2 linked regions of the Arabidopsis thaliana genome follow. The gene in region 1 interacts genetically with each later gene. Each region holds a gene or a part of one and is shown in the gene's direction. Other genes may lie near its edges.

Region 1 (3,754 bases):
GTTGATACTTGTTCTTCTGTGGATTTGTAACTTGATTCCTGCTACTAGTTTTAATGTCCACAGTCTCAAGAGTGTCTGGTTTGTGACGAGTTAACACTTTCTGAGTCTCAAATTGTTTGTTGTGAGTCTGTGACGCATCTTTAATCTTTGTCTTTGATACAGGTCTTGCAATTTATGATACTATGCAGTACATTCGTTCTCCTATTAGCACAATTTGTTTGGGTCAGGCTGCATCAATGGCTTCTCTTCTGTTGGCAGCGGGTGCCAAGGGGCAAAGGCGGTCACTTCCAAATGCAACTGTTATGATTCATCAGCCTTCAGGAGGATATAGTGGACAGGCTAAAGATATAACGATTCATACAAAACAGATTGTTCGTGTGTGGGATGCGTTAAATGAATTGTATGTCAAACACACGGGTCAACCTCTTGACGTGGTTGCGAATAACATGGATAGGGATCATTTCATGACTCCTGAAGAGGCTAAGGCGTTTGGAATAATCGATGAAGTGATTGATGAAAGACCGTTGGAGTTGGTGAAAGATGCAGTTGGAAATGAAAGCAAAGATAAGAGTTCAAGTTAGGAAGTAACTGGTAATCAAAGTAATAAATTTTCTTCTTTTCCTCTTACCAGTTTTGCTTTGATCCTGTTAGATTACTTTTTTCTATGGATGAAGTTATGCTCTGAGGGCATGATCTCTCAAACTGTTTTTATTCATTCATAAATCAATCATGACTATATTTCTGAAATCTTTTCCTCGCATGTTTAGTGTTTACAGTCTCATATCTGATTCAGTAAAATGAATATTGGATTAACGCTTGGCTTTGGGTCTTAATTTTATGTGCAGTTTGATGCATTGCAAATCTTTGATTTATGCATCATTTTATACTAACTAGAAAGTCTAAAATGATGAGATTATTGTCTAGTTTCAGAAACCCCAGTTCTAGTTGGTTAGTTTATGTTAGAAGATGGGGTTTGCTGTTTCCTTATGCTCTTGATCGATGTTCTTCGGTTTCATGTTTTTGCTTACCTCATCAAGTCAAAGCCACATCTATTCTGATTTGCCTCTTTTTATATAGAAGAAGTTAGAACACATCATATTCTTGTGTTAACACTGGTCTTTGATTATGCTCTTTGAATTAGGGACAGAATCTTAAGATCTTTATGAAAATTCTTGTACGGTGTTGTCTTGTCGTGTTGAGCTGAGCCTTCAATTGCTAGTGTTTGCTTCTGTTACTCTGAATTATATTTGGACAATCTCACTCTAATAAAAGTTTTTTAAATACTAGCAGAATTGTTAATTTATCCTATGGTTTACATGTTTATATGATTTTGTTGGTTCTATAATGTGTAAAAATGGAAAACATGATTTTTTTTTCCTTTTTTTTAAAAGTATAAATGGAAACGTGTAGGAAAGTGTAAACAAGAAAAGAGGACATAAATGACCCAATGACTTAATAATATATTTGGTTGAGACTTAGGAGTAGTGAGATTAAACTACAAAATAAGGTAAATTGGAAAATAAGGAAAAACCTTTTTCGATTTCGATCTCTCCTTGGTGAAAAAGGAAATTGAAAGGGGAAAAAACGCCGACAACAGTAAACCAAACTTCTCACAAAAACTCCTTGGAAAGTTTTCACCTTCTTTCAGCCCTAACCCCATCGTCTCTCTCTCGCGACCGCCTCATCTCTCTCTGTCTGGATCAATCTCGCTCTCTCTTTCTCTCGGCTACGTCGCTGTTTCTCGTTTCGTGATCCGTAGCTGTCTCCGCTACTACCTTAATCAGCGAGCTTCTTCCGGTGGAATAATCTTCGGATAGGAGGAATCGGAGAATTCTTCTAATTGGGTGTCTGGGTTGGATTGGAATACGTAATTCTGTTGGGTGTTCCAATTTCGCGTTCAAAATTAGGGTTTATAGAGGTCTCGCCTATGGCTCCTGGGCGTAAAAGAGGAGCGAGCAAGGCCAAAGCCAAAGGGCAGTTGGTTCTCGGTGATCTGGTTCTCGCCAAAGTCAAAGGCTTCCCTGCTTGGCCTGCCAAGGTGCGTTATCATTATGATTCCTCTATTGGGTTTTAATTTTTCTTACACAGATTCTTGTTTTTTTTGCTTCTTCTCTAATTGAATTCTCATATAGTCCTTAAGTCCATAGTCATCATCTTTAACTTGTTGGGTCTTCTGTTTTTATCGTTACGAATTCTAGAATACACATTAACTTCGTCGAATTGAGCTCTAGTGTGTTCTGTTTCTTTTTGTTGAGATACTAGGCTTCATGATTAAGTTGGTTTGAAAGTCAGTTAACTCATCTATCTAGTTACTCGGTCAGATTCCATGGTTGAATTATGAAACACACATGTTATTCATCTCGATAAATAATGAGCTTCCGAATCTCTCTAATACAATTCTCTTTAGTTAGTCTCTCTTGTGAAGTAATTTGGTTTTGAGTTTCAGATCAGCCGGCCTGAAGATTGGGATCGTGCGCCAGACCCAAAGAAGTACTTTGTTCAGTTCTTTGGAACAGAGGAAATGTAAGCTATTCTCTTTTATTCTTTGATTCTGGTACCTTCTCATCCAGAAAGGTATATGAACTTTAGTCAGTATATCATGTTGCTAGGAATTAAGTAGTAGACCTCGGTTATCAGGTGTTTCAACATGTTACCAAGTGTTTTTCTTTTTGGCTGACAATATCTTTGGAGTTGATTTTGTCTTTTACAAACTGATCATTGACAAAGTTATCTTCCTTTACTGCAGAGCTTTTGTTGCGCCACCTGATATCCAAGCCTTCACTAGTGAGGCAAAGAGCAAACTATTAGCAAGATGTCAAGGTAAAACTGTCAAGTACTTTGCACAAGCTGTAGAGCAAATCTGCACTGCATTTGAAGGGTTGCAGAATCACAAGTCAAATGCTTTGGGCGATGAGGATTCTCTGGATGCTACTGAACCTGGTTTGACAAAGGCTGAGATAGTGGATGGAACAGATCATATTGTCATTGAGTCTGAGAGAACTGATAACTTTAATTTTAGGGTGGATCCTTGCTTCCCCAAATTAGATGAGAATAATGGTGAGGAGAGAAAGGCTGAGATAAGGAAGCTAGATTCATCTTCATTTCTGGAATCAAAGGTCAAAACCACATCCCCTGTTAGCGAGTCACTGGAGCATAGTTCATTTGACCCTAAAATAAAGAAAGAAGATTTTGATAAAGGAACTGACGGTAGTGCTTGCAATGAACATTTTGGTAATGGCCAAAAGAAGCTGGCTAACGGTAAGAGAATTAAGAAGGAAGCAGGTGGCTCTGATAGAAAAGGTGAAGATACAGTTCATCGAGACAAAAGCAATAACTCACATGTGCCTGGTGGTCGAACTGCCAGTGGTAACTCTGATTCCAAAAAATCGAAAGGTCTGTTGACAGAGAAAACCAGCTCCAAAGTGTCTGCTGATAAGCATGAAAATTCACCTGGCATCAAGGTTGGGGTTTCCGGAAAGAAAAGGAGGCTTGAAAGTGAACAAGGTAAGCTTGCACCAAGAGTAGATGAAAGCTCACGTGCTGCTAAAAAGCCGCGATGTGAAAGTGCAGACAATAAAGTAAAGTGTGAAATTGATGATGGATCTGATTCTACTGGGACTGTATCAGATATTAAGCGTGAAATTGTTTTAGGATTAGGTGCTCGCGGTGGAAATTTTCAATATGATAAAGAAGCAGTTGCATATACAAAGCGCCAGAGACAGACAATGGAGCATGCTACCTCTCCTTCTTTTTC
Region 2 (3,754 bases), on another chromosome or scaffold:
ATTGTGAAAAAAAAAACAAATATAAATTATTGACTATAGTTTGAAGTAAGTCGTAATTTTTTCCGCAAGGTAAATTCATTCAAAGTTAAAATGTGGAGAGTGAGAGAAAGAGAGTCGCGTGGCTATTGGGTAATGAGAAACGATTGGACCCATTTGGTATCATTCGGAAGTGATATGTGGCAGAGGGCAATCATACGTTTTCGTCATAGCGTTAGATTTTCTTACAGTTTCTTAGAGATTATTTCGATTGTTTGTGTCAAACGAGTTTAGTATGTTACTGCTATTGAACAGTAGTATTTTCTCATGTATCGATATGAATACGTTTACTCTTTTTCTTTTTTTCACACAATCAGATGAATATAGGGATGAATATACGTAGTTTTGTCTTTGTCATATACTAGATTATATTCCCACCAGTCATTTTCCTATGTATTTAACAAGACAAGACGTAGAAAAATGAGAATTTTAGTACTTGAGTTAACATATTTAAAGATTATATTCCCATCAGTCATTGAACATATGTGTACATATATATACGAGGAGAATCTATAACTTAGTAAGGAGGGAAATATGAGATTTTATTTCTATAGAGAAAAGAAAGGATAAAACCTCTCTCTGCCAACACTGGCCACCGTCTCCAAAGTCCATCCCAGTTAATTTTTATTTTTTGGAATCTTCTTATGTTATTACTCTTTCTTTTCTTATGACAACATGTCAACATGTGACCTGTCGTCTTCTACTTTCTTTTCTTCAGCTTTTCTCCTTTTAAGCAGAATATTCAATCTATCTTCAAATTCATATCTGAGTTTTGTACTATAAAAGAAAAGCAGACATTAAAAAAGATTTGAATATAAAACAAATGTATTGGAGTGGTAAAGCACATCTTCATCAAACATTTTTAAGGAGCATCAATCTAATTGGTCGATGGAAATGGAAGTAAAGGAATAGAAGATTGTTTGTGTTCCATGATGATGTATATATATGCCTAATTAATGTTACTGTTAGTTACCTTTGGATAACAAAGATATTTAAAGCGGTTTAATGCTTATTAACGGTTGATGGATGTTACCTTTTCTTTTTGACATCACGGTAGATGTTACCTTTCATAGGTGTTGAATAGACAGATTGGGGACGTTAATTAGTAATGATGTAATTAGTTAGAGCTAAATAGTGCTAATAAATATATGTAAGAAATTGTTCGGAAAGTAACTAAAAAAAGTTCAATTCATGCAAGTAGACACTTCAAATGTGATAAATGTATAAGTATGATGTTAAGCATGTGACCCTTGAGAGTCGATTAGGGCACTGTACAAGATTGACCCAAATAGTTACAAACTACAAGTGAACTCTCTTCCATTACATATCTACGTGTATTGAGGGGACCATTATCGTACGTATACACGTATATATGTTTTGCCCTAAATTCCCAATTTTAATTCAGCATGGGGGACGGACTCATTCAATAGCATCGTCTTTCACTTTCCTTCTTCGGTTTAAAATCTCATTTTAGTTTCTGATCCAAAAAAAAATGTTTGATCAAAGATCAAAAACTTAGATAGAAACAAACTGTTTTTTTTTCTTAAATCAAGAAAGTCTAAAAAACTAAGATACAAAAAGGGACTCGCAGCGGCAGAGAGATAAGTATCTTACGGGCCAGCAGATAATTTCTATGTTACGTCCCTTTCATCCCCATTGCATATTGCATATGAAGACAACGGATATTAACTAAAATCTTCCAAAATTACGGTATAATGAATAATAATACACTTCTGTCTCATATAGTATTCTATTATATTGTTCGAAAATGTTCTTATTTACATATCTATTTATATTGTTAATTGATTGCGGCTATTACTGTGGATATTCATCGTAACTATTTTAATCAATACAAATCATGCAAAATAGTGAATGACTTAGAAAAGTTGAAACCACATATGATTGAGTTTAGGGGGAAAAGTATAAAAGAAAGCATGACTAGTATGTTACTATGTAGTAAGCTTCAAACATATATTTAAGAAAATACTATATATAGATACATATGATATAACATAACATTAAAATATATGGTGAAACATTTTTTCTTAATATCCTAAGCTTCAAACATATACCCAAGTAGAGAAGAGTTGGAGTATTCATTCTTTGGTTAAACATAGACCTAATACATAGCTCATATGGACAATTTTTCGACAAAACAAAAATGATAGCAAATGGGCTAAAATGGTTTCATATCGAAAAGCCCAAACCATTAAGCCAAAACGACGTCGTACGATATGACAGCGGCGATTCCTATAACCACCACCAGAGGTTAAAAAGTCTCTCTCTTTAGCTATCTTTTTTGTGTTACCGGTTCAAATGGCCGCCGTCGCAGATTCCGTTGAGAACAACGGTTCCATAAACCTCCCTGAGAATGAAAACCTTATACCGGCGGGATTCAGTGCCGCCGCATTGCTTGACGAAAACTCTGGCGCTTTCCCTGAATTGAATCAGCCCGATAGCTTAGCTGCTGCTGAGACTACCTTCCCCGATACGAACGATTCCGCGGAGGAGAGGTGGCCAGGTTGGCCTGGTGATTGCGTGTTTCGTATGATCGTTCCGGTGACTAAAGTCGGAGCTATTATTGGACGCAAAGGTGACTTTATAAAGAAGATGTGTGAGGAGACTCGTGCTCGTATCAAAGTCCTTGATGGTCCTGTTAATACTCCCGATCGCATCGTTAGTATCTCTATCTCCTTCTACGTGATTTACTGTGTTCAAAGCTAATTCGAATTTGGGGATTTTTAATTTCTATTTCTAGGGTTTCTTAATCATAAGTAGGAAGATTCTTGAGTTGTGATCATTAAAGTTGTGAACTTTTATCCCCTAGTTGTGCAATTTGATTACTTTATGGTTCCAATTATAGTTTGAAGTGTTCACTAAGTTAATTACTTGCTCAATGTTATGTTTTAGGTGTTAATATCTGGTAAGGAAGAACCAGAGGCCTACATGTCACCGGCAATGGACGCAGTGTTGAGGGTGTTTAGACGTGTTTCAGGGTTGCCTGATAATGATGATGATGATGTTCAAAACGCTGGAAGTGTCTTCTCTTCAGTGCGTTTATTAGTTGCTTCAACGCAGGCGATTAATTTGATTGGAAAACAAGGATCTTTGATTAAGTCTATAGTAGAGAACTCTGGTGCATCAGTTCGTATTTTATCAGAAGGTATTATCTATCATCTGCAGTTTTCTGTTTTTACCTAATTGATCTCTTTGTTTGTGATTGTTAAAGTTTAGTTTTTGCTATTTCAATTCATGTCTGTTTTTTTTTCTAAAATTGGTGTCTTTGTTGCCAGTTTCTTATTTCTCTACTTTTTTCTGCCAGAGGAAACACCGTTTTATGCTGCACAGGATGAGAGGATAGTGGATTTGCAAGGGGAAGCTTTAAAGATTCTTAAAGCATTAGAAGCCATTGTTGGACACCTTAGGAGATTTTTAGTTGACCATACTGTTGTCCCTCTCTTCGAGAAGCAAGTAAGCTTGCTTGTTTCAATCGAGATTATTCCTTTCCCTTTTTTTTCTTTTCTGAATTATTGTTATCTTTTCTTATCTTCAGTATCTAGCTAGGGTCTCTCAAACTCGCCAGGAAGAACCGTTAGCTGAAAGCAAGTCATCTCTGCATACTATTTCGTCAAATCTAATGGAGCCTGATTTCTCCCTCTTAGCACGGAGGGAACCTTTGTTTCTGGAGCGCGATTCTCGGGTGGACTCACGTGTTCAG

The links. A genetic interaction does not mean that the proteins touch.
Region 2: of HUA2 (region 1) and PEP, changing one enhances a phenotype caused by changing the other (phenotypic enhancement), as found in Arabidopsis thaliana (one study listed by BioGRID).

Annotation. Positions count from the first base shown.
Region 1 is NC_003076.8:7,784,246-7,787,999, forward strand, and holds the start of HUA2 (Tudor/PWWP/MBT domain-containing protein), read left to right. Parts: upstream 1-1,589; 5' UTR 1,590-1,927; coding exon 1,928-2,038; intron 2,039-2,446; coding exon 2,447-2,523; intron 2,524-2,746; coding exon 2,747-3,754. Other genes in the region: NCLPP7 (nuclear-encoded CLP protease P7), read left to right, coding at 163-581. UniProt on the Arabidopsis thaliana protein: Transcription factor that functions as a repressor of flowering by enhancing the expression of several genes that delay flowering including FLC, FLM/MAF1, MAF2 and SVP.
Region 2 is NC_003075.7:13,194,928-13,198,681, forward strand, and holds the start of PEP (RNA-binding KH domain-containing protein), read left to right. Parts: upstream 1-2,141; 5' UTR 2,142-2,352; coding exon 2,353-2,712; intron 2,713-2,946; coding exon 2,947-3,199; intron 3,200-3,358; coding exon 3,359-3,507; intron 3,508-3,589; coding exon 3,590-3,754. UniProt on the Arabidopsis thaliana protein: Regulates vegetative and gynoecium development. In concert with HUA2, antagonizes FLK by positively regulating FLC probably at transcriptional and post-transcriptional levels, and thus acts as a negative regulator of flowering.